Linked DNA regions of Anolis sagrei. The protein of the gene in region 1 interacts with the protein of each later gene in a biochemical or structural test. Links are inferred from orthologs where the notes say so. Each region holds a gene or a part of one and is shown on either strand. Other genes may lie near its edges.

Region 1 (3,915 bases):
CTCCTTGGCCAACGTGGCCCCTGGTCAAAGAGCTCCCTGGTCAAGAGGGCCCTGGTCAAGGGGCTCCTTGACCAATGTGGTCCCTGGTCAAGAGGTCCATGGTCAAAGTGGTCCCTGGTCAAGTGGTCCCTGGTCAAAGAGCTCCCTGGTCAAAGGGCTCCCTGCTCATAGTGGTCCCTGGTCAAAGTGGTCCCTGATCAAAGTGGTCTCTGTTCAAAGTAGTCCCTGGTCAAAGTGGTCTCTGCTCATAGTGGTCCCTGGTCAAAATGGTTCCTGGTCAAAGTGGTCCCTGGTCAAAGTGGTCTCTGATCAAAGAGGTCCCTGCTCAAGTGGTCCCTGGTCAAAGGGTTCCTTGGGGACACAAAGTGGTATTTGGTCAAGTAGTTGGGAACCACTGCCTCCAATAGACAAGAGTTCTTTCTCTCACCCTGAGCCTTTCACAGAGATATAAACCTCCCTTGCCTATTTTCCAACAGACTTCACAACTTCTGAGGATGCCTGCCATAGATGTGGGCGAAAAGTCAGGAGAGAATGCATTTGGAACATGGCCATACAGCCCGGAAAACTCACAGCAACCCAGTGAAAGCCTTCGACAACACATGTCTGAATTGTGTTACATACTAGTGTAATTCTATAGCAGTTCAAATGGCATCAAGAGTGCACTATTGCCACAATATCCACCTGTACTGAGTTTGGCAATGCTTTCCAACAGGGTTCTGGGACCTTGATCTTTTCATAGGTATCACGAGAGGAAAGAACTGTTGATGTGTTGAGCCTGCCGGTGAGCATAATGTAGAAGAGCCTTGGCAAAGCTCTCCATGGGGTTGCACCGGGAAGGCTTGGCAGAGGAGGAGGAGGAAGAAGAAGAGGAGGAGGCAGAGGCAAGAGCGCCTTTCTCAGCCCCGAGAGGCACCTGTCGAGGCGCTTTCCTGCGGAGGAGTTCGGGGCGGGCAGGCGAGGGCAGGCTTTTGAAGCCCGGCGGAGTCCGAGAGGCGGGGAGAAGGGCAGGAGAAAGAGGGAGGCGGGGACCTCGGCCAGCCTTAAGGGGGGAGAAAAGCGCGACCCATAGGGCGCCGAAAACCCTTCTCCTTCTCCTTCTTCTCCTTCTCCTCCTCCTGCGAAGGCCAGCTCTCCCTCTCCGCCTCTTGCCGCCTCCGAAGCAGAAGGAGCCATGCAGAGGTCGCCGCTGGAGAAGGCGAACGTGTTCTCCAAGCTGTTCTTCAGGTGAGCGGGGCTTGGGGGGAAAAAGAAAGAAAGAAAGAAATGGGGGAGATCGCCCCCAAACTGATCCTTTTCGCTTTGGCAAGGAAGCAAGCATCACCCCTTGAGCCCTTTGCCCGACTCTCAGGGGCGCTTTGAGGAGGGATTTGTGTTGTCCAAAGGAATGGGAATAGCATTGTCCGAAGCGAAGTTATGGATTGTTTGGGAGGAGCGCGGGGCTGCCTCCCATCTCCTCCTGCTTCATCGGGAGCTGGCCTTGGCAAAGAGCGGCCAAATGCCGATAGGTCAGTCCTGGAAACAGTTGGCCGGAGGAGAGGGAAGAGGAGGTTGGTTCCCACAGGAGGAGAGAGAGGAGAAAGAGGAGAAGGAGGAGGAGGAGAACAAAGTGAAGAAGGAGTAGGAAGAGAAGGAGAAGGAGGAGGTGAAGGAGGAGGAGGAAGAGGAGGGGAAGGAGGAGAAGAGGAAGAAGGAGGGGAAAGAGAAGGAGAAGGGAGTCCTCTTCCATCAACTCCTTGCTCCCGTCCTTCTCAGTACCCTTAGCTCCCTCTGATCACTAAGAAGGGGGAAAGGAGGAGGAGGAGGAGGAGAAGGAGAGAGAGTCCCATCATCTCCTTGCCTCCTTCCTTCTCAGTGCCCTTAGCTCCCTCTGATCACTAAGAAGGGGGAAAGGAGGAGGAGGAGGAGAAGGAGAGGGAGTCCCATCATCTCCTTGCCTCCTTCCTTCTCAGTACCCTTAGCTCCCTCTGATCACTGAGAAGGGGGAAAGGAGGAGGAGGAGGAGAAGGAGAAGGAGAAGGAGAGAGAGTCCCAACATCTCCTTGCCTCCTTCCTTCTCAGTACCCTTAGTTCCCTCTGATCACTAAGAAGGGGGAAAGGAGGAGGAGGAGAAGGAGAGAGAGTCCCATCATCTCCTTGCCTCCTTCCTTCTCAGTGCCCTTAGATCCCTCTGATCACTGAGGAGGAGGAGGAGAGGGAGAAGGAGAGAGTCCTCTTCCATCAATTCCTTGCCCCGTCCTTCTCAGTGCCCTTAGCTCTCTCTGATCACTAAGAAAGTGAAGAAGGAGGAGACGGAGGAGAAGAAGGGGGAAAGGAGAGAGAGCTCTTCCATCAACTCCTCGCCTCCTTCCTTCTCGGTGCCCTTAGCTCCCTCTGATCACTGAGGAGGAGGAGGAGGAGGAGGAGGAGGAGGAGGAGGAGGAGGAGGAGGAGGAGGAGGAGGAGATTGAGCCCTCTTCCATCAACTCCTTGTCCCCTTCCTTCTAAGTGCCCTTAGCTCCCTCTGATCACTCAGAAGGAGGGGGAGGAGGATGAGGAGAAGGAGAAGGAGAGAGAGAGCCCTCTTCCATCAACTCCTTGCCCTTGTCCTTCTCAGTGCTCTTAGTGCCCTCTGATCACTGAGAAGGAGAAAGGAGGAGAAGGAGAAGAAAGGGAAGGAGAAGGAAAGAGAATCCTCTTCCATCAACTCCTTCCCCCCTTCCTTCCCGGTGCCCTTAGCTCCCTCTCATCACTGAGGAGAAGGAGAAGGAAAAAAGGAGAGAGATTCCTCTTCCATCAACTCCTTGCCCTGGTTCTTCTCAGTGCCCTTTGCTCCCTCTCATCACTGATGCTTTGTAATGCTGGCAGGTGCTGCTGGGGCTGGATCTACACTGTCTTATATCCCAGGATCTGATCCCAGATTATCTGACAATGTAGAAGCATATAATCCAATTCAAAGCAGATAATCTGGGATCAGATCCTGGGGTATAGAGCAGTGGGGATCCAGAATAAACCATACTTTTCAAATTCATGCAGTTTTATTGAGCATCCCTCCCCAAGTTCAAGTTCACCTTTGGTATAAATTGCCTTTTGGCTCACTTGCGGGATGTACTCCTTGCTCATTCTGACACAGAGCCCAAAGGCTAGGGCTCTTTCTACACTACCCCCTAAAATCCATATTATCTGCTTTGAACTGGATTATATGGCAATGTAGACTCATATAATCCAGTTCAAAGCAGATAATGTGGATTATCAGCATTGATAATTGGATTATATGGCAGCATAGAAGGGGCCTTGGTCTACAGCAGGGGTCCTCAAACTAAGGCCCAAGGGCCAGATACGGCCCTCCAAGTTCATTTACTCGGCCCTCACTCAGGGTCAACCTAAGTCTGAAACAGCTTGAAAGCACATAACAACAACAATCCTAACTCATCAGCCAAAGCAGGCCCACACTTCCCATTAAAATACTAATAAGTTTCTATTTGTTAAAATTGTTCTTCATTTCAATTATTGTATTGTTTTAAAGTGTTTTTTGCACTACAAATAAGACATGTTCAGTGTGCATAGGAATTCATTCATGCTTTTTTCAAATTATAATCTGGCCCTCTGGATTATGATTTGAGGGACTGTGACCTGGCCCTCTGTTTAAAAAGTTTGAGGACCCCTGGTCTACAGTGGGCCAGATCCCAGGATCTGATCCCAGATTATGCTATATAACACAATCTTTTGTTCCTGAAGTTATAAAGGTCATTTTCTCATTGGTTCTATCATACAAACATGGAAAAGTACATCCTGCAGCACATTTTGCTATAGTTTTTCAATGAATATCTCATCAAGTCTCAACTAATTCAACACACTTTGGGGCAGCCACAAAAATGAAGTTTCTGGAAAATAGTAACTACTTTCAAAGTACTGGTAAAAATGTTGAAGCTTAACCCA
Region 2 (3,915 bases), on another chromosome or scaffold:
TCTAAGAGGTTTTCCCTCGAAGCAAACCTTATATCCCAAAACCCAGAAATTGGTTTGGCTTTCCCCCACACTTGCCCCTTATCTGACGAAGCCTTTCAGAGCGACGTAAACACTGAGTTTGCTGTCAATCCTGGCTGATCTCCAGCTGCCTATCCTTCAACTCCCTATCTGGCTGCTCATTAAAATTTCCAGGTGTCAGATTGTTTTCCAAACCCAAATCTTGAGAGCTCACAGAAAGAGGGAGTAAACCATCATCCCGAGGCTCAGCAGGAATATTCTCATGAGAAACTGCCCTTTGCACTGGGGCCTCTCTGTCATTGTCTGTATGAAAATCATTGACCAAACCATCTCTATCTTGCACCTCAGTCTCAGCACCATCATTACTCTCATCATAAGCATTATGATCCTGGAAAACAAACAGGCTGATTCCCAACACTTGATTCCAAATGATCCTTCATCAGACTACATATCCTAAACTTGGGACTTTTCTCTCCTTGTTAATTATGTCACCAGTGCTCAGAAATTGGTTTCGCTTAGCTGAGAATTTATCTTTTTCTGTCAGAGCCTGGCAGAACGCCGAAGCTACTGTTCGGCTCTCCTGTTTCGACTGATCTCCTCTAGTCTATCAATTTGCCCCTTAATTTCTGCAGCTGGGCCAGGTGCCGAGCTGTTTTCATGTCCTTTCTCATGGGAACTCTTTGGTAACAATTAAGAAAGCACACCATCATCTCCACACCCCTCAGGAACATTCTCATGGGAAACTACACTTTGAACAGGGATCTACTGGTCATTCGCTGCATCAATATCACTGGCCAAACCATTGCCATCTTGAAATCCATCTTGAACCTCATTAACATCACTCCCCACATCCAAAGCACCCTGATCCTGAAACACAATCACAGGCTGAGCTCCAACAATAGCTGACTCCCTCATCATAGTATCTTCCTTGGATCCAGATGGATCTGTTTGGTTGTTGGTCACATAACATACTAATAATAGAAAATGATGCGGGCAGAAAGGTAAACACTCTCATTTTAATTTCCTTTTGCTTTACCCCTTTCCCACCTGTTTGTTTTCAGAAATAACCTTCTTCCTGATCGAAGTCCGTCACCGTTTTCCTCCTGTGCATCTCATTTCCCTACGGCACAAAATGTGTCCAGAGTTGAACCTTCCCTGCCAAGAAAATGACAAGAGAGTTTCCCTCTCCTTGCTTATCTCTCTCGAAGGTGGAGAGGCCAGCCTTGTAAAGTCTCCTGACCCGTTTAAACATTAAGCTCCCACGATCTCATTTCCAAAAAGGCGGGTCTCCAGGTGAAGCTGCCACCGCAGGTTGGACCTTGGACCTCAGACACTTAAGGAGCCATGAAGCAGAAGGAAGGTAAGCGGCAGAAGAGAGGGTCCATAGGGACCGACCCAAATGGGACCTCCGAGCAAGGAATTTTGCAGGGTTTGCATGGTATGTATGTCTGCAGGGTTGGATTTGATTGTCTCATAAGCTTGCCAGACAGACAACCAATTCAAATGCAATTTTAGGACATTATAGAAGTGTAGACTCCAAGGGGATTCCAAAGATCATATAGTCTAACCCAGGCATGTGCAAACTTTGTCCTAGGTGTTTTGGACTCCAACTCCCACCATTCCTAACAGCCTCAGGCCCCTTCCTTTTCCCCCTCAGCCGCTTAAGCGGAAAAGGAAAGGGCCTGAGGCTGTTAGGAATGGTGGGAGTTGGAGTCCAAAACACTTGGAAGGCTCAAATTTACCTGTGCTGGAGGCATGAATTCTGATCCAGTGGAGGCTTTTAAACAGAGGCTAGATGGCTATCTGTTGGGAGTGCTTTGATTGTGATTCTCCTGCATTGCAAAAGGTGGTGGACTAGATGGCCTCTGGAGTTCTCTTCTGTAATTCCTTCGGTTCCTTTACATCTCTGTGGTGTTGGGATACAAATCTGGAGTGCAGGGTTCAAATCCCTGCTCGGCTATGCAAACCCAATGGGTGACCTTAGGGAAGTCACACTCTCTCAGCCTCAGGGAGAAGCAAAGGCAAACCCTTCCATCCTTTCAGCCAGGCTTTGATGCTGCAAGGCTATTAAATGCTAATCAAGGTGTCCAATTTTAGGGTGTTAGGAATTGTGGAAGTCCAAAACACCTGAAGGGAGGAAGTTTGCTCATGCCGGGTCTCAACCCGTCTTACCTCCCAGTCTGATCAGCGCCAGGTTTCCACATCCAAGGCAGATTCAATATCCACTATTTTCCAAAAATTGTCCCACTCTGGAAGTGTTTGAAGACCTTTGCAGTGCATTTCTATGCTATGTATCTGGCAACAAGTATAATCAAAATACAAGGTGTGTTTCAGGTATGCATAGATGAGTTTTGAACATATTCCCAATGGAAATGAGGGTTGTAATGTACGGAATTCCTTTTGTTGTTGTCCTGAAATGAGTCATAGATAAAAACATTGAGTAGCAACAAGGTCAGGACAAACCCCAAGCCACCCACTAGTCACGCCTCCGTCGTATTCTTTGGCATTTGCTAGATAAACTGCTAAATCTGATTTAATTTCTGCAAATTAAAAAGTCCCTGCTAGAAGCTCAACTTGTGCTTCTGTCCTTCAATGATGCAAGAACGTCACCGGGGTTCCATTTGAGAAGCTGGAGCTGAATCAAGCCATCTGACTTACTATTTCCATCTTTAGAATCACAGACTCCTAGAGTTGGAAGAGACCTTGTGGGCCATCCAGTCCAACTCCATTCTAAAAAGAAGCAGGAAAATCGCATTCAAAGCACTCCCGACAGATGGCCATCCACCCTCTGTTTCAAAGCCCCCAAAGAAGGCTTTGGGACAGAGAGTTCCACGGCTGAACAGCTCTCACAGTTAGGATATCCTTCTTAACGTTTATTTATTTATTTATTTATTTACAGCTTTTCTATTCCGCCCTTCTCCTCACCCCGCAGGGCGGATTACAGTGTACACATATATGGCAAACATTCAATGCCAATTTTTGACATACAAACATATACAGACATACACAGAGGCTATTTAACTTTTTCTGGCCACCGGGGAGCTGTCGCTTTCATCGTCCATCTGCGATGCTGATGAAGCACTTCCGCATTCCCGCATGCTTCCCTGTTGGAATGCTTTGCTGGAGTCTTTTTTATGGCCTCATAAATGAGTTAATTTAGCCTCCCCACACTTTGAGGTGGTACCTTATTTTCCTACTTGACAGATGCAACAGTCTTTCAGGTTGCAAAGGTCGACAACAGGCTACACATAATTGGTTGGAAACCCACTCCAACCCGGGCTGGCTTCAGACTCCTGACCTTTTGGTCAGAGTGATCTTAATGCAGCTGACACTCAGCCAGCTGCACCACAATCCCATTCAACGTTCAAGTGGAATCTCCTTGTTAATGGAACGGCGATGATCTCTGCACACACAAGGCACTGAAACACATCTTCTTGTCTAAAAACCTAGTTTTTTTAACACAAAACATATTTACACTAGAACTAAACAGAATGAGAAACAAAAACATCTACATGGCTCGGCTCTTCGTTGCAATCAAGAATACGGCACACTCCCACATTCCTTAGTGACGTGATGACGTATGACACTCTCGATGCTAGACAGCATACAACACTTTCTGCACTCGGATTTACGATTCCTCCTTCACAATACAGTTGGCCCTTTCCACACAGGAATTACAACCTCCAGCACATTGCATTACAAAGCATAACATTTCTAAGCACATAATCACTAACTTTGAAAACTACAATACCGTTAATCAAAACACACATACAGATATTCTCAACACTCCTTTCCTGTAGTTTGAAGCCACTGTTCCATTGCGTTCTACTCTCCAGGGCAGCAGAAAACAAGCTTGCTCCCTCTTCCCTATGTGAACACTGGTGGAGTTTGGGGAAA

The links.
Region 2: the proteins of CFTR (region 1) and NHERF4 form a complex in vitro, tested with the Homo sapiens proteins (2 studies listed by BioGRID and IntAct, with this or other methods). The link is inferred for Anolis sagrei from reciprocal best matches to the Homo sapiens genes CFTR and NHERF4.

Annotation. Positions count from the first base shown.
Region 1 is NC_090025.1:130,805,464-130,809,378, reverse strand, and holds the start of CFTR (cystic fibrosis transmembrane conductance regulator), read left to right. Parts: upstream 1-1,112; 5' UTR 1,113-1,171; coding exon 1,172-1,224; intron 1,225-3,915. UniProt on the Homo sapiens protein: Epithelial ion channel that plays an important role in the regulation of epithelial ion and water transport and fluid homeostasis. Mediates the transport of chloride ions across the cell membrane.
Region 2 is NC_090027.1:39,533,357-39,537,271, reverse strand, and holds the start of NHERF4 (Na(+)/H(+) exchange regulatory cofactor NHE-RF4), read left to right. Parts: upstream 1-1,252; 5' UTR 1,253-1,362; coding exon 1,363-1,456; intron 1,457-3,915.